Canis lupus familiaris: one gene and its partners. The protein of the gene in region 2 purifies or fractionates together with the protein of the main gene of each other region. This does not show direct contact. Links are inferred from orthologs where the notes say so. Each region holds a gene or a part of one and is shown on either strand. Other genes may lie near its edges.

What was found.
Region 1: the proteins of VBP1 (region 2) and PFDN2 fractionate together in Homo sapiens (co-fractionation; 8 studies listed by BioGRID and IntAct, counting the BioPlex papers as one, with this or other methods). This does not show direct contact. The link is inferred for Canis lupus familiaris from reciprocal best matches to the Homo sapiens genes VBP1 and PFDN2.
Region 3: the proteins of VBP1 (region 2) and PFDN6 purify together in Homo sapiens (affinity purification with mass spectrometry; 6 studies listed by BioGRID and IntAct, counting the BioPlex papers as one, with this or other methods). This does not show direct contact. The link is inferred for Canis lupus familiaris from reciprocal best matches to the Homo sapiens genes VBP1 and PFDN6.

Annotation. Positions count from the first base shown.
Region 1 is NC_049259.1:22,181,731-22,188,116, reverse strand, and holds the start of PFDN2 (prefoldin subunit 2), read right to left. Parts: upstream 3,558-6,386; 5' UTR 3,491-3,557; coding exon 3,416-3,490; intron 1-3,415. Other genes in the region: NIT1 (deaminated glutathione amidase), read left to right, coding at 3,638-3,639, 4,233-4,331, 4,577-4,831, 4,957-5,060, 5,271-5,404, 5,572-5,697. UniProt on the Homo sapiens protein: Binds specifically to cytosolic chaperonin (c-CPN) and transfers target proteins to it. Binds to nascent polypeptide chain and promotes folding in an environment in which there are many competing pathways for nonnative proteins.
Region 2 is NC_049260.1:124,324,849-124,330,480, forward strand, and holds part of VBP1 (prefoldin subunit 3), read left to right. Parts: intron 1-3,643; coding exon 3,644-3,768; intron 3,769-5,632. UniProt on the Homo sapiens protein: Binds specifically to cytosolic chaperonin (c-CPN) and transfers target proteins to it. Binds to nascent polypeptide chain and promotes folding in an environment in which there are many competing pathways for nonnative proteins.
Region 3 is NC_049233.1:2,882,125-2,887,522, reverse strand, and holds PFDN6 (prefoldin subunit 6), read right to left. Parts: upstream 3,121-5,398; 5' UTR 3,079-3,120; intron 2,934-3,078; 5' UTR 2,850-2,933; coding exon 2,786-2,849; intron 2,536-2,785; coding exon 2,465-2,535; intron 2,386-2,464; coding exon 2,261-2,385; intron 2,055-2,260; coding exon 1,925-2,054; 3' UTR 1,824-1,924; downstream 1-1,823. Other genes in the region: RGL2 (ral guanine nucleotide dissociation stimulator-like 2), read left to right, coding at 138-252, 365-576; WDR46 (WD repeat-containing protein 46), read left to right, coding at 3,521-3,589, 3,691-3,903, 4,012-4,092, 4,237-4,349, 4,474-4,561, 4,689-4,750, 5,009-5,113, 5,201-5,351. UniProt on the Homo sapiens protein: Binds specifically to cytosolic chaperonin (c-CPN) and transfers target proteins to it. Binds to nascent polypeptide chain and promotes folding in an environment in which there are many competing pathways for nonnative proteins.

The DNA of each region.
Region 1 (6,386 bases), on a different chromosome or scaffold from region 2:
TAACAACAAAAATAAAGCGGCAATAATAGTTATCTTTGGATACTAGGATCACGAGTAATTTATTTGTTATTTTGTACTTTTTCCTGTGTTTTCTACATTTCCACAATGAACATGTCTTATTTTATGTAACAGAAAAATAACAAGAGCATGCCATATATTTTTCTGTGGCTTCCTCACTGCTTACATTAAAAAGTTCCAAATTCTTTGCCATGCAAAGACTCAACTTGCTTTTAAGCACCACATCTTTCTTATACTTCATGATTTAGCTAAACTGACCAGTCACTGCACTTCCTGTCAGACTGTGCTTTCCCTAGCTCTCTTCTTATCCTATTCCCTATATTCTATTTGCATTACCACCTGTTCAAATCTATCCAATCCTTCAGGCTCATCTCAAATATCCCTAATATGATCGTGGTATAAATGGAAAAATATGTCTGATTCTCAAATCACTCACTCAATTAAAAGCCCTGCTCTTCCAGTTACTAACCTTGGATAAGCTAACTGAAGTCTCTGAAACTCAAATATCCTTACCTATAAAGGGAGGACAATATAATCTACTCCAAAGAGCAGTAATTAAATAACAGAAAATAAAACAAGTGCCTAGTACAATGTGTTGCTTCCTTCCATCTTGTTTATAAGGGACATATATAGCTCACATTTGCAGATATGATAAATCACATGTATTTTTTAAAAATTTAGGGGACACCTGGGTGGCTCAGCAGTTGAGTGCCTCCCTTCTGCCCAGGGTGTCATCCCAGGGTCCTGGGATTGAGTCCCACATCAGTCTCCCTGCATGGAGCCTGCTTCTCCCTCTGCCTGTGTCTCTGCCTCTCTCTCTCTCTCTCTCTCTCTGTGTCTCTCATGAATAAGTAAATAAAAAAATTTAAAAAACATTTTAAGTAAGCTCTAGGCCCAACATGAGGCTTGAACTCACAACCCAAAGATCAAAAATCACATGCTCTATGTACTGAGCCAGCCAGGTGCCCCAATAAATCTTACATTTTTTATCCAGTGTTCTCTCTGAAACACAAAGGCCATAGAATGTTAAGCAAGAACAGCCTCAGAACTCAATTATCACAACTGCTCGCTTTCTTTGGAGGGCTTCTTCTCTTTCTCCATAACCCCTTAAATATTGGTTCCATCCTTGTTCTGCTGCTTCTTTTTTCAACTTTCTGCACAAACCCTAGATGATTTTGCCCATTACCATGACTTTTTTTTTTTTTTTTAAGATTTTATTTATTTATTCATAGACATAGAGAGAGAGAGGCAGAGACACAGGCAGAGGGAGAAGCAGGCTCCATGCAGGGAGCCCGATGTGGGACTCGATCCCGGGTCTCCAGGATCACACCCCAGGCTGCAGGCAGCGCCAAACTGCTGCGCCACCGGGGCTACCCCCATTACCATGACTTTATCAGCCTTCCATAAGCTTATAGTTCTCTGACTCAAATGTAATTCAAAATTTATAAATCAAACCAACTATTAAATACCTCTACTTGAATGTCCTACAAGAAATCCAAACTCAAAACCCCAAGAGAAACATATTCCCCACCCCCCTAGGCATTTCCTATCTTCCTACATTGCCTATGAACAAGCATCCATCAAAGACATAAATCTGAGAAACATTCTAGTTTCCTCTCTATCCCGTTTTCTTCACATTGAAGTCTTGCAGTCCACCCCATACTTTAAGCCCACCTGCATCCCCAACAGGCCAGAAAGGTTCATGCCTCACTGCTTTTAAGGACATTAGTCTCTGCCTAGGAAATTCTCCACTTCCTTCTTTTTTTTTTTTTTTTTTAAGATTTTATTTATTTATTCACGAGAGAGACAGAGAGAGGCAGAGACACAGGCAGAGGGAGAAGCAGGCTCCATGCAGGGAGCCCGACGTGGGACTCAATCCCGGGTCTCCAGGATCACACCCTGGGCTGGAGGCAAATGCCAAACCGCTGAGCCATCCAGGGGTCCCTCCGCTTCTTTCTTTGCTTGACTAACTTCTCTCATCCTTTAGAACTGAAGGATTATCTCTCCCAGAAAAACAAACACTATACTCATTACTGTGCAAAACACTTTGCATGCATTTCTTGTCTAATAATAATCAAAACAGTGATGAAGTATGAACTGCCAAATTTTTACAAGGTGAGAGAGGGAACTCATGGGAGGTCATCTACACATAATAAATAGCAGAACCGTGATTCTAAAACAGATCCGCCAACCCTAGGGCACTTCTTATGCTCTTAGCCACCCCTCAGAAAGTATTAGGTTCCTTCTCCTTTTCCTCCCACCACAACACACGGGTCGGGGGGCAGAAACTATCGTTCCCCCCCCCCAAAGTCCTGCAGCACTGGGCAGCCCGGGGGGGCTCAGCTGTTTAGCCCCTGCCTTCAGCCCAGGGCCTGATCCTGGAGACCCGGGATGGAGTCCTGCGTTGGGCTCCCTGCATGGAGCCTGCTTCTCCCTCTGCCTGTGTCTGTATGAATAAATAAATAAAATATTTTTTAAAAATCCCACAGCACTTTATACCTGTTAGGACACTCATCTTCGGCCTTATGTTAGCACTTAGTAGGTCTTATTTCACTGTGAGCTCTTTGATGGCGTGGGCCAACTTGAAAAATCTTTATGGAGACACCTTTGCCTGCGGTGACTATTCGACAAATAACTGACAAGCGAGCGAGCCTGCAGCGAGAAGAGCTGTTGTCTTAGGTTTTCCCTTCTGTCGCGGGGATTTCTTGCCACCCAGACTACACACTAGCCCCGCCATTAGCAAACCAGGGCTCCCCGCGCGCCACAAAAGGCTCTCCGGGTTGTTTATCACACGTCTCCCGCTGCTGAGACACTGGGGGAGATGCAAACTCGGGTTACAACACGGTTTCTGGTCGCTCAGGAAATCCAATCTAATAACGACGTGCGGGTCAAAATAGTATGGGACGGCGGACTGCTGGGGCATGCGAGTCACGTGGCTCTGCAGAGTGAGGGCGACGGTCAGCGTGGTGCCGGGGTCACCGAACAGGCCACACGGCCAGCCCGCCGGCTCATCCCCGGGGATTCGTGCCGAGCCGCCGGGCCCGGCCTATCCTGCGGGAGGGTGCGGGGAGGTAGGCAGAGCCACGCCCGCCCCCCGCCCCTCCCCCTCCCTCTCCTCCCTTCCCTCCTCTCCCCTCCCTCCCCTCCCCTCCCCTCCCGCCGGGCTCGGGCCCCGGGCCGGCTCACCCTGCACCCCGGGGGGGGCGTGGCCTTCACCGACCAACCCTCCCGCGCTCTCCCCCGGACCCGGCCAGCTTCTCCGAGGACCCTCCCCTCTCGGGGCGGCCCCGCCACGCCGGGACGCGCGCGGGGCCTGCCCCAGCCAGCGGCGCCGCCCGCTCCTCGCACCGACTCGGGCCCGGCCCGGCTGCCCTCCTTCGCGCCCTCCGCTCCTCACCTGCTCTGCCGACACCGCCCCTTTCCCCGCGCCGCCGCCGCTGCTCTTGCCGGCGCGACCGCTGCTCTCCGCCATCTTCGCCGCCCGCTGCGCTTCCGGCCTGCGCGGCCCCGCCCCCGTGCGTCACATCCGGCCTGGAGGTTGCCGCCCCCTGGCCCCGGGGCCGCCGCTTCCAGGCCGCTCCTCCGGTCGGACGCTGCCGACGGTTTCGGCTCTATCCTCATGTAGGACCCAGCGGTGCACTCCGCTGCGGGGCTTTAACCCGTGCAAGGGAGCCGCTGCGCCTGGGAGAGGCGGAGAGGCCGGGTTGACCGGAGCGTGGGGGCGCGGGCTGGGATGTGTGTGGGTGCCGGTGCCCTTTGCCCCCCACGGGGTGGGAGGGGCGAGGGACGGTGAGCTTCCCCTCGGAGATCGGGGTAAGGGGGCATCCGCTGAGCAGTGCCGCCGTGCAGGTGCCCAGTGAAGGGGAGAGGCTGGGGAGAGCAGGGAGGTTTCTTGGGGATGCCTTTTGAACCGCGGGTATGTTCCCCCGGGCGGGCAGGTGGGGGCGGGGGCGGGGTGGGGGTGGGGGGGCTTCAATCTAATACGAGCCCACTGGAGCCGAGACAGGTGCCGAGCAAAGCCCCTTCCTCTGTCTTCCCACTTTATGAGTCTTCCTGTAGCCCATAATTACTCCCAGTAAGACTTGGTGGGGAGGGGGGGTGTTTCTCTGCGAGGGCCCTGCTTCAGCCTCCCAGTATGAAGAGAGGAGTCAGAGAATCCTGGAAATGTGCTGCTTGAGCGCGGGAGTGGTGTCCTGATTTCTCACCTTCCTCAGGCTGGGCTTCATCATCAGGCCTCCTCACCAGCTCCTGCCCCTTCTCTTGTGTCCTGGACTCCGGATACCTCGACTCTCAGTACTTTGTGCACAGCCCAGGTAACATGTTTTGCTCTGTCCTTGGCGCCTGACACTTAATAGATGTTCAGTAAATGTCTGTGATGTGCATAGATGGTGGGATACACTGGGGTGCCAACCATCACAGAACATTTCATCAGTGGGGAGCCCTGAAAAGCAGAAACCAAAGGGCAGCGCAGCCCTCCTGCTCCCCCACTTAAGACTCTGATTGTTAAATTTGCATTTCCCCATTCTGGAAGTCTGAGCCCTGCCCGTGCCATTCACAGTCCCAGAGCCATGGCTATCTCCTCTTCTTCCTGGGAACTGCCGCTGGTGGCTGTGTGCCAGGTAACATCAACACCAGACAAGCAGGAGAACTTTAAAACATGCGCCGAGCTTGTTCGAGAGGCTGCCAGACTGGGTGCTTGCCTGGCTTTCCTGCCTGAGGCATTTGACTTCATTGCAAGGGACCCTGCAGAGACACTACGCCTGTCTGAGCCACTGGGTGGGAACCTTTTGGGAGAATATACCCAGCTTGCCAGGTATCAGGGAAAGGGGGAGGGAAAGGTAGCTTCCTTGTTGGGCAGTGTCCCCGAATTGCCAGATAGGAGGGTCAAACATTGAGAAGCATTGTCAGTGTTGCCCCTTCTACCCTGCCTTCCTCCAGGGAATGTGGACTCTGGCTGTCCTTGGGTGGTTTCCATGAGCGAGGCCAAGACTGGGAGCAGACTCAGAAAATCTACAATTGCCATGTGCTTCTAAACAACGAGGGTGAGACCTGATAGCTCTTTAGCCACATCTTCCCAGGCTCTTCTACCTAAACTTGCATTCTCCAGAATTCTCAACTTGGTTTCCTTGGTTGAGTTTTAGGGGTATTTGTACTTCTGAGCCTAGGTTATAAATAGTCTTGGTGGGAGGAGAGGAACTAAGTTGGGCTCCTAGCGCACCAGCACTGAGCATTCCTTCTCCCTCTTACTACAGGGTCAGTAGTGGCCACTTACAGGAAGACCCATCTGTGTGACGTGGAGATTCCTGGGCAGGGGCCTATGCGTGAGAGCAACTCTACCATTCCTGGGCCCAGTCTTGAGTCTCCTGTCAGCACACCAGCAGGCAAGGTGGGAGTTGTGAAAGGATGAGGTGGGGAAGAGGAACAGGAGGGAGAAGAGAAATACTTTGAAGTGATAGTAGAGGATGGAAAGAAAGTCCTAAGGAAACGTAGGCAGTGGGTATGACTGAATGCTGTGAACAACAGGACAGGGCTATTAGGCTGTTTTCATTCCAGATTGGTCTAGCTATCTGCTATGATATGCGGTTTCCTGAACTCTCTCTGGCATTGGCTCAGGCTGGAGCAGAAATACTCACCTACCCTTCAGCTTTTGGATCTGTTACAGGCCCAGCCCACTGGGAGGTAAGAGGACACCTCTTCAAAACATAAGGGCCTTCAGGGCACCTGGGTGGCACTAGTTGGTTCAGCATCCGAGTCTTGGTTTCCGCTCAGGTCAGGGTTGTGGGATCGAGCCTTTTGTCAGGCTCTGCACTCAGCTCTGTGCTCAGCACAGAGTCGGCTTGGGACTCTCTCTCCTCCTCCCTCTGCCCCTCCCACTTGTGCTCTCTCCCCTCAAATAAATCAATCTTTAAAAAAACATACAGGGCAGCCCCAGTGGCGCAGCGGTTTGGCCCCGCCTGCAGCCTGGGGTGTGATCCTGGAGACCTGGGATCGAGTCCCACATCGGGCTCCCTGCATGGAGCCTGCTTCTCCCTGTGTCTCTGCCTCTCTTTCTGTGTCTATGAATAAATAAATAAAATCTTTAAAAAATAAATAAATAAAAATAAAAAAACACAAATATATGGGCCTTCTCTTAACTTTGTTCTCTCGTGGCCCTACCAGCTGAAGGATTTTCTTCCTCTCCACCTACTGGGAAAACTCATTCCCTAGGTTGTTGCCTCTCGTTATGTTAAAGAATAATTTACATAGTGAATCATTCCCAGGCAATGATCAGATTGGCCCGTAATGTCCATCACCCATAATTTCCCACTAGATGCTACCCGCCACCCATAATTTCCCACTAGATGCTACCCGCTTAAGTGAATACACAT
Region 2 (5,632 bases):
GCCAAACTTTATGTAATGTGAATAACATGGTATTGGAGAAAGAACTTTGGCTTCTTAATAGACCAGGGTTTGAATCCTGCCTCTACTTCCCGATCGCTGCTTGGTCTTGGGCATGTTGTTTTACCACTTTGAGCCTCTGTTATTTTCATGGAAAAAGGATGACAGTATTTAAAGAATTGCTACGAGAAGCAATATGTGCTTTCAGTATAACAAGTAGATACTTGATATATATTAATTCCTGTGATGATAGGAGGTCATATACTTTACTGGTTAAAAGTCAGACCTCATTGGGACGCCCGGGTGGCTCAGTGGTTGAGTCTCTGCCTTTGGCTCAGGGCGTGACCGCAGGGTCCTGGGATCGAATCTGGTGTGGCTCTCCCTGCACGGAGCCTGCTTCTCCCTCTGCCTGTGTCTCTGCCTCTCTCTCTGTGTCTCTCATGAGTAAATAAGTAAAATATTATAAAAAATTCTAGTAATTCTAGTTATTTTACAGTAGAGTCTATATGAGTATTGAATTTTACCTAAAATGAGACAGAATATAGCTCTTTTCCGCTGTTAACAGCCTATTGTTCTTTAGCTTATTGAATTTATTAGAAAATGCAAGAAAATGTTAAATATTAGTCATGAAAGCGAGCATTCCTCTCTACTCTGTGATTTACCTGAAATCTTAATATTTTGTTATTCAGAATGTTTGCTGTTTGTTTGTTTTTGCCTTTGTTACTTCTATTCGAATTAGCCATAAAACTTTTTAAACAGATGTATTTATTTTAGAGAGAGAGAGAGAGAGAGTGTGTGTGTGTGTGTGTGTGTGTGTGTGAGCCGGAGGGGCAGAGAGAGTGAGAGAGACAACCGTGGGGACCCCCTGTGGAGCGGGGAGCCTGACTTGGGGCTCTATCCCATGACCTGAGATGACCCGAACAGAAATCCAGAGTTAGCTACTTAACTGACTGAGCCACCCAGGCGCCCTGCCGTAAAACTTTTTATTACAGATTACTTCAGCATCTTTTATGATCTAAATTTTATTCTTTTAATATGTTGATTGACAGATGGATGATTTAATATGATGATTGACAGATTTCTTGCAGTTGAATAGTGCCCTTACACCCTTGTAGTACGATCTAATGTTCCTATGATTTGATTATTGCTGCATTCTATGTGCTGATATTTCTTGAAGCACTGTGTGCATGCCTTCCTACCACCCGCCATGGTAGACCAGTCCTCTGTGCCTTTACTATGTGAGATTGATCTGTGGCTTTATTTTTTACTATGATTGGATTTCGGTATTAAAATTGTAGTGATTGGGGCACGTGGGGGGCTCAGTGGTGGAGCATCTGCCTCTGGCCAAGGGCGTGATCCCGGGGTCCTGGGATCGAGTCCCACATCGGGCTCCCCGCAGGGAGCCTGCTGCTCCCTCTGCCTGTGTCTCTGCCTCTCTCTCAGTATCTCTCATGAATAAAAAAAAGATATTTAAAAATAAATAAATACAATTTTAGTGGTTTTTTCAAATGAATAGGTGAATGCTCCATCTTTTTCTTTTATAGCTCAAATAACATTAGAATCACTTATTGTTTAAAAGTTAGATATAAGATTCATTTATCAGTCCATTTGCTTCAAGTGACATTTGCAATATTTTTAATCATGTCTTCAGGCTCTTTTATGAAAATGAGTCAAATCAAGCTTCAACTATTTTGAAGTCAGCTTTAATAATTTTATATCTGTGCAGGTTATCACTTTATTTTTATTTTTTCAATTCCATTGCCACATGATAAGTAGTTATGTGCACTTTCTTTTTCTTAAATTCCTATATCTTTGTTATTGATCTTTTATCCACAAACAGGTTTGCAAAGGATTTATTTTAGTGGTGGTGATAGTCTTTTCAAAGAATGAGCTTCTGGGTTTCTTTCTTTTTCTCAATTATTCTTTTTTAAGATTTATTTATTTATTTGAAAAAGAGCACGAGTAGGAGGGGCAGAAGGAGAGGGAGAGAGAGTCTGCCTTGGACTCTGCTGAGAATGGAGCCCGATGCAGGACTTGATCTCATGACCTGAGCCAAAACCAAGAGTCAGATGCACAACCACCTGTGCCACCCAGGCCTCCCCCTAGTTATGGTTTTTTTTTTAAGATTTAATTTTTTTATTCATGAGAGACAAAGAGAAAGAGAGGCAGAGACACAGGCAGAGGGAGAAGCAGGCTCCACGCTGAGCCACCCAGGTGTCCGCCTCGTTATGTTTTAATGTTTTTTAGATTTTATGTTTATCGGCCCACCTGGGTGGTGAGAAACTGGAGGCAAAGAGACAGGTTCAATAACTTCTCCAGAGTGAACACATCTAGTATGTGGTGAAGCCAGGGTTCAAACCAGGCAGGCCCTGTTTCGTGGCCACAATCCTGTGCTGCTATAGGTAATTCTCCTGGCTAGACTCTAACCTCCTAGCAACATTTACCCTGGGCTAGAAACTTTGACTTACATCTCTTTCCTGCAGTGACCCTTCTAGGAAGATGATATCTTGATTTTACATGCAGACTTCAGCCACTGCGCCCAGCCTCACCTTTTGTTTCTTTTACTGTGTCTCTAGCTTGACGGCTTCATAGTTCACACTCCTTCACTGTTGTTTCTCCTTGCTTCTTGTCTTGTTTAGGCTAAAATAGTCCCTTATAGCTGGTAAATATGGATAAGAATAATGATACAGAGATCTCAGAAACTGTGGGTACTTGAATTTAACTTAAAATGAAGGAATAAAGTTCTTTAAAATGCTGGAAAGGTCCAATGGGATTCCCTTAAAGTTTCCATATATTTTCATCTAGTTCCTGATCCTTATCTGATTAGCTTTTCTTCAAGGACCAGCATGTAGTATACATTTTTAAAAATGCTACTCAGTTTAACTACTTTTTTTTTGCCTAATTATTCTTTTTACAAAAGATTGTTTTGTTTGCTTTTTAGGTTTACTTTATTTCCAATAGTTGATACTTGAGGTATTTGTGGCTTGCCTTGGGAACCTAATACCATATTCAGCCTGATTTCTATGGCAGAACTTGAGTTCAAAATTTTAGTTGATGATTTTGGCATACATCTGTTGAGTCGTTTTGTGGCTAGGCTACATGACTAGGCAATGTGTTTGATTGTTGGTAATTTTCATATTTACTACCGGGGCAACCTGGGGGGTGTATAAAGCAAGTAAAGTCATCTTTCTTTCCATATATATATTTTTATATAAAAAGAGAAAGGTGGAGGAAGAATAAATTAGCTACATAATGTATGTGCGTTGTTTGAAATGATCTTGAAGTTTTTATAACTACATTATAGTTAAAAACAAGCCTTTGGAAACAAACACAAGGTTTTTTTTTTCTTTAATGTTTTAAAGATAAAGGTGAAACAGTCAAAAATCACATTAGAGGTATGAATTTGAAAATTTGGGAGCACCTGGGCAGCTTAGTCAGTTAAGCATCTGACTCTTGATTTTGGCTCAGGTCATGGTCTTGGGGTTGTGAAATTGAGCCTTGTGTTGGGCCCCATGCTCAGTGTAGACTGCTTGAGATTCTCTGTCTCCCTCTCCCTACACTTGCACGTTCTCTCTCTTTCTCTAAAAAAAAAAAATCTTTTTTTTAAAAAAGTCTAACTTGCATGTGTTATTTTTTGATCTTAAAGGAAGATGTAGATTCCTTCATGAAACAGCCTGGGAATGAGACTGCAGATACAGTGCTGAAGAAGCTGGATGAACAGTACCAGAAGTACAAGTTTATGGAACTCAACCTTGCTCAAAAGAAAAGGAGGTAAGTGTAAAAATTTATGAGTTGTTTTTTGTTGTTAATCTTGTATGGCTTAAGCTTTAAAAATCAAGACATATTTTACATTTAATAAAATGTCCAATTTGATGAATTTTTAGATATATTCACTTCTATAACCATTGTCCCGATTAATATGTAGAACACTCCTATTACTGTAGGAAGTTCCCTACTGCCCCTTTTTGGCCAACACTGCCCACTCCCAGAGACAACCACTGTTCTGATTATCTTTACTATAGATTTATCTGTTCTTGAGTTTCATGTAAGTGAAAGCACATAGTAACTACTGTTTTATATCAGGCTTCTTACACTTAGTATGATGCTTTTGAGAGTCCTCCATGGTTTTGTGTATATCAATCAGTAAATTAGTTTCTTTTTAGTGCTGAACCTTGCTCCATTGTATGTGTATGTCCACAATTTTAATCTATTTTTATCTGTTTGCCTGTCAGTGGACATTTGGGTTGTTTCCCCATTTGGTTTGAAGTCTTTGTGTGGGTATGTGTTTTCATTTCTCCTGGGTAATTACCTCGAGGTAGAATTGCTGACTTGTATGGCAAGTATAACGTTCAGTGTTATGAGGAACTACCAAAAGTCCTCCAAGGTGGCTGTACCATATTTCATTCCCACCAGCAGTGTATGGAGTTCCATTTGTTCCATTGGTCCGCATGCTTGCCAATGCTTGGTATTATTAGTCTAAAGATGGTTTTGAAAATGTAATAGAATGAATATCGAAGACCTTATTCCAAAACATGTAGGGTCATAACATCTTAGATTTCTAGTTTATCCTTATTTTGCCACTAAGATCAGAGACCCATAGAGGTTCTGGCTCTCCCTAGATTTCACAAATAATAGGCATAGGACAAATGGATCCTTGTTCTCAGTTGTTTATTTCTCTGTATTTTTATAGTAGCTTACAAAGTCAGTTCACTACAATAAATACTTGTGAATATCTGCTATGCACATTTCCCAGCATTCTTCTGTCAGTTAAATATTTCTGGAATTCTAATTAGGTGCCAGATACTGTTTTGGGTGAAATAAAGTTCAGTGTCTGCTCTCAAGAGGGACGCCCGTCTAGGCATGCTAGATATGTCAATAAGATAAGCACATAAAGTATAGCAGTTGAGATACTTTAGTACAAAGTAATGAGTTAGCACAGGGAAAGGTGTGATCTTGAGGGTGAGAGTGACGTTCGGGGGAAGCTTCTGGGCTGTGTAGAATTTTGAAGGCTGGTTATGAGTTCGGAGGCAGACTAAAGCAAGGAAGGAGCATCTGGGCATAATGTGCCATTCATGTAAAAGTACAAATGTTTGTATTTAGATATGTTTTCTCATTTGATTTGGTAACAGGGAAATTTGACTAAGGCCTGGGTACTAGATGAAAAGTCATTGACATAGAGTGTTAAACAGAAAAGAGCATGATAGAAAAGACTATGAATGATATGTTTTCATTTTGGAAAAAGTATATCTGTACAAAAATATCTGGAAGAAGGTATACTGATGGTGTATCAACAGTGGTAATCTTTGGGTGGTGGGAATATGGTATTTTTAAAAATCTGGTTATCTGTATTATTAGGTTTCTACAATATTTACCTACTACTTTTATAAGAAAAGCTTTTTTTTAAAGATTTTATTTATTTATTCATGAGAGACCCAGAGAGAGAGAGAGTCAGATAGGCAGAGGGAGAAGCAGGCTCCATGCAGGAAGCCTGATGTGGGACTCGATCTCGGGTCTCCAGGATCACACCCTGGGCTGAAGGCGGCACTAAACTGCTGAGCCACCCGGGCTGTCCAGAAAAGCTTATTTTCATTTTAAAAAGAATAAAGTCAAGTTTTCAGATCACCCACAGGAAGAT
Region 3 (5,398 bases), on a different chromosome or scaffold from region 2:
ACATAGTGCTTCCCTGTTCATTCTAGAGTGTTTGACATGGGTCACCATTTTCAGTTGGGATCAGCAGTTAGAGCTGAACGGATGGAAAGCAGAGGCAATGGCCAGTTTATTGCTCTTTTGGTCTCCTGTCCTGCCAGGTGACAAGCCAAGACAAGGCTCCAAGTGTCATCAGTCGTGTCCTTAAGAAAAACAATCGTGACTCTGCGGTGGCTTCGGAATATGAGCTAGTGCAGCTGCTACCAGGGGAGCGAGGTAAGAGGCCGTGAGGGAAGGCAGACTTGGGAGGAGAGTGGTGCTTCCATAGCCAACTGGTTGTGGGGGCAATGATCATGTCGCTCTTGATGTTCCTTCTCTGAACACACAGAGCTGACCATCCCACCCTCGGCTAATGTTTTCTATGCTATGGATGGAGCATCACACGATTTCCTCCTACGGCAGCGGCGAAGGCCCTCTACTGCTACACTGGGTCTCACCAGCAGCCCCTCAGCCTCAGGAACTCCCCCAAGTGAGGGAGGAGGGGGTTCTTTTCCCAGGATCAAGGCCACAGGGAGGAAGATTGCCCGGGCACTGTTTTGAGGAAGAAACCCTGCGAGCTCAATAGAACTCATGGTGGCCACACCAATGTGGGTTGCCATCCTGAGTGGTGGCAGTCATGTTGCACCGGGAAGAAATCCAGAAAGGTGGCCAACCACCCTGGGGCAGTGAAGTGCTACTGGTTTAACCAGAAGGCTGAGAGATTCAGCTTTGTGAGAACTGGTTATCTTGGTAACCAAGTTGGGATACCTGTGTATAGCTCCCTACTTTCCATGAATGCAGCACATGGCCAGTACTGGAAAAAGGGATCAGTTCCCGGTTCCTGGCCACATCCTAGCATTCTAAGGCCAAGGAGAGGCCTACAAGGAGGAGGGAGAGGAAAAGCCTAGAGGCTCTGAGCCCTGGGGAGAGGGGATGGCAAGAAGTAGGATCTAGTAGGAGTTTATTTTCCTACTCTGGGTGTTCCTGTCACTGTGACAACACTAAGATAATAAATCAAAACACTACCTACATTCTACTCCCCTGTCCTTGAATTGTGTATGGTTTAGCTTCTGGGAGTGGCGGTGGGGAGATGGCCAAAGGTAGACACCAAAGAACAAGGGGCCCAATGTTTTCTGTCCCCATTGCTGAAAATGAAGCGTTGGCGAAAACAGTTTCCTCACAACAGTTTCCTTCTCCCCAGTAACCTCTCTGCTGGCTCCCTCTATTTGCTATTTTTCTTCTCAGTTGTCACAGACCCATAGCAAGTACCAGTCACCAATTAAAGTGAGCAGATTAAAGAACAATCCGTGGTTGGACATTTGTAAGAAACAATTTTAGGACAAAGAAATGGAAGAATGACTTTGTGGATAACGTATAAACTTGAGGGCCTTACAACATCACAAAGTGTTCCATGCTGGGATTTTAAATCAGCCTAAACTTCATTCAAACAAATTCTAGAATGAGACTAAGATGCTGGGGCTTTCTGGAGGATGACAAGAAAGCATAGCAAGAGGGTCACCACATTTCACCCTGGGGTCTCAGTTTAGATTACCGTGAGCTCTGTAGTTAAACTGGCCTTCCCAATGATCATTGCGTGGTAAATGCTCTTCTCATGTTTCCTAAGGGGCATGCCAACCAAGGCAAGCGTAGTGTATATAGGCAAGTAGGTGTGAGACGTTTCAGATTTTAGTCTCAGTGAAAAAAGGAGGATTACTCTGTGGCAATTCCAGTCACGAGAATTGGGACCGAACAGAGTAATGCAGGTGGCATATATATAAAGTTGAAGGGGCCCAAGGAAGAGACCATCATGACAGGAAGTGGCTGGTCAGAAAACAGCCAGGGGTTTTCACATTTTATTAGCTACAGCATAGACCCTTGAGCTGCCTCATTCCCTCCCCCCCCCATGGGGTCAGGCCTTCCCAGAAGCCCCTGCCTTGGCTGCCTGGGCCCTCTGGAACTCCTGCTGCAGCTGAGCCAGGGTCTCCCTCTGTTGCTCTGACTGCCGCTCAAGGTCCCGGAGCTGGGATTCGTATCGCTTACTGAAGAGAGGCAAGAGAGACAAGCAAATGAGAAATTGATGGGATTTACTCTTGAGGGTGCTGAAGGGTTGGACTCTCCTGGACTCCCCGTGGAGGGTTTGAGGAAGCAGATCAGACAGGGCTACCCTGGAACTACTCCAACGGCTCCTCGACATTCTACGCTGGGGGCGTCCGGTGCCTTGCAGGGTGTCAGAACAAAGACTCACATTTCAGCTGTGATATAGTCCAGCCTCTTCCCCACTGTGGCACGAGCCTCTCCCAGCTCCTGTTTGACCAGCACAGGACCCAGAAGTTTAAAGACCACGTTGGATCCATCTAGCAGGGCCAGCTCCTGATGGAGGGATGGGACATACAAGATCAGAATCACTTCCAGGTCAGGTCCCTTCTGGCCCGGCATATCCCTCTCTCACCTCCTTCACGATATTATTTTCTGTTAGCTGCGCCTCAAGCTTCTGTCTCCCCGACATGGATTTACTCAAGTCTGGGGGTTAGGAAGAAAGGGTTGATTAAACACATCACATGTGCCGCCTAACCCCAATCCTGGTGAGAAGAAAACGGAGCTGAGGAAGTAGACAAGGAGGCGGCAACAGGTCAGTGGGTGGGGACGAGCTCCGAGATGGGGAAGGAGCTGCACGCGGGGCCTCTAGTGGGGCACAACATATTATCTTGGTTTGGCTTTGGGCTGTAAGTGAAGGGTCTGGGGCGAGGCCGCGCCGACGCTGCTCCCTTACCCTTCTGTAGCTGCTGATATTTCTCCACTTCTCCCTGTAGCTTCTTCTGGATTAGCTCAGCCATGGCGGGGACGAAGGCCCGCGGGGAGTGGGAGCGGGCGCTGGGTCTCACTCTGGGAGGTACCTAAACTCCCCTTTCTGGCCCGGCCTGCGGAAAGGACAGCACTCTTGCGAGGCAGCCTCCCAGGGCACCACAGCCTCTCCTCGTCCCAGAGAGCCCTCCACGCAGGCCCCAGGAGGTGGCGGGCGCAGCAAGACCCCAAGCCCCTCAACCGTAACCCAGCCATACTCACGTTCTCGCTTCACTATTACTAAACCTGGAAGTAAACAAAGAATGCTGGGAAAAGAAGGCGCCGGAAGCTGTCTTCTGACGCATGCCGGGAACTGTAGTTTTGGCACGTTTAGTGAACGGTGTTCCCCCAGAAAACTGGACCCGGGAGGTTTTAGGCAAGACAGGGAAACGGAGCTGGAAAAAAAAACTGCACCGTTACTTTGTCCCCAGCCCCAGACTACCTTTCTTTCATTACTCGGGCATAAGCGGCTGCTCGGGATTGCGGAGCCAAGACCTGCCCCGCCCCTCGAGAGAGAGTGGGCCCTCATTCAAGATGGCGCTCAGACGGCTTCAGACCTGGTAGGCACTGATTGGACGAGGGCCGGCGGGCTTCCGGGAGTTTCCGAGCCGTCTGTGGACAGCTGAGAGAAGTTTGCACGTGGGTCGTCGTTCCGGTGGGCTAGATGGAAACAGCCTCCAAACCCGGCAGAGATGTCCAGCCCAAGAAGGCCAGACTTCAGACCAAGAAGAAGGTAGAGACCTCGCTAGGGTGGAAGGGAAATTTTTAGCTGCGGGGTCCCGGGGGTGGGGGGGCGAGGGCTATGGAGTGTTAGAGCTTGTGATCTGCCCGTAGAAACCGCGGAGGTACTGGGAGAAGGAAGCCACTCTGACCGCTGCCGGAGCCTCTCCAGGGCCCCCTCGTAACAAGAAAAGGAATCGAGAGCTCCGCCCCCAGAGGCCAAAGAACATTAACCTCCCAAAAAAGTCTCGGATCCCCGGGAAGCCTCAGTTCCCGAAGAAACCTCGAGAACAGAGAAATCTTGAGCCTCAGAGAAATTTGTCCGGGGTGAGCCTGGGACCTGATAAGGTGGTGGGGCAAGTTGCCTTGTACTTTGCAGGTGCGATGGTTGGGGTCAACCCTAACCTGTCTGCTAATTGCTTCCTCCTTCCCCAGGCCCAGGATCCATTTCCAGGCCCTGCTCCCATCCCTGAGGAAGTGGCTCGCAAGTTCCGTCGCATTGACAAATCCAAAAAGGTGAGGACCAGCTGGGAGTGAGGAGGGATTGCAGCTTGGGAGAGCATATGAGTGAGTTGGATGAAGAGGAACTGTGTGACTCTCCTGGCACCCCACATAACACCTGGTTCTTTTTTCATTACTCTCCTGCCAACGCTGGTATAGCTGCCACATTCGAAGTCGAAAACACGAAGCCGACTAGAGGTGGCTGAAGCTGAGGAAGAGGAAATAAGTATTAAAGCTGCTCGTTCTGAACTGCTTCTTGCTGAGGAACCTGGGTAAGTGGATCCTAATGTGGACCTCCCCAGGCCCTGCTTGATGGGGCTTCTCGTTCTCATTTTTACGTTGGTACACCCACCGTGTATTTGTAAGTTTTACTGCAACCCTAGTGCTCACCCTTAGGTTTCTGGAAGGGGAGGATGGGGAGGACACAGCAAAGATACGCCAGGCTGAGATTGTGGAGGCTGTGGATATTGCAAGTGCAGCCAAGGTGAGTCTGAGGTTGGAAAAGGGGCCACTGGTGGCACAGATAGAAGTGGGAACTAGAGGTGGAAATTACCAAGAGGAGCCCATTCTTCCTTGATTTTTTTTTTTTTTTTCATTTTTCCCTCTCTCAGCATTTTGATTTAAACTTGAGGCAGTTTGGACCCTACAGACTGAATTACTCCCCAGTTGGGAGGTAAGATTGGATATCAGTGACTCTTGAACTAGGATGTGGTTCATCTCCTTAACCATTTCAGCCACACTCACCTCAGCCATATGGTATATGTTTAGGCTGATGAAGTGGGGATGGTTCTGTGATTTGTTTGCATATGAGGGTGAGCATGTAAAGCATCTCCTTATCCGGAGAGGCGGGGCCGGTGGGGGGGAAGACCTCATGGTCTGAGTCAGGGTGCTTCCCTGTGTTGACATGCTGCCTGTCCCCCACCTCCAACAGACACCTGGCTTTTGGAGGGCACCGGGGTCATGTGGCCACCCTTGACTGGGTAACAAAGAGGCTCATGTGTGAGATCAACGTCATGGAGGCAGTGCGGGACATCCGGTCAGTGGGGGTGGGGCATCTCCTTCCTGACTGAATGACAGTCCCTTGACCCTCTTTCCCTCTTAACCACTCTTCTCCTCCTTCCAGGTTTTTGCATTCAGAGGCACTGTTTGCTGTCGCTCAGAATCGCTGGCTTCACATCTATGACAACCAGGGCATCGAGCTCCACTGTATCCGCCGCTGTGACCGAGTCACACGGCTGGAGTTCTTGCCTTTCCATTTCCTTCTGGCCACGGCTGTGAGTGCCTCTGGAGTGAAGAGACTGGGTGGCAGCCCTTGAGAAAA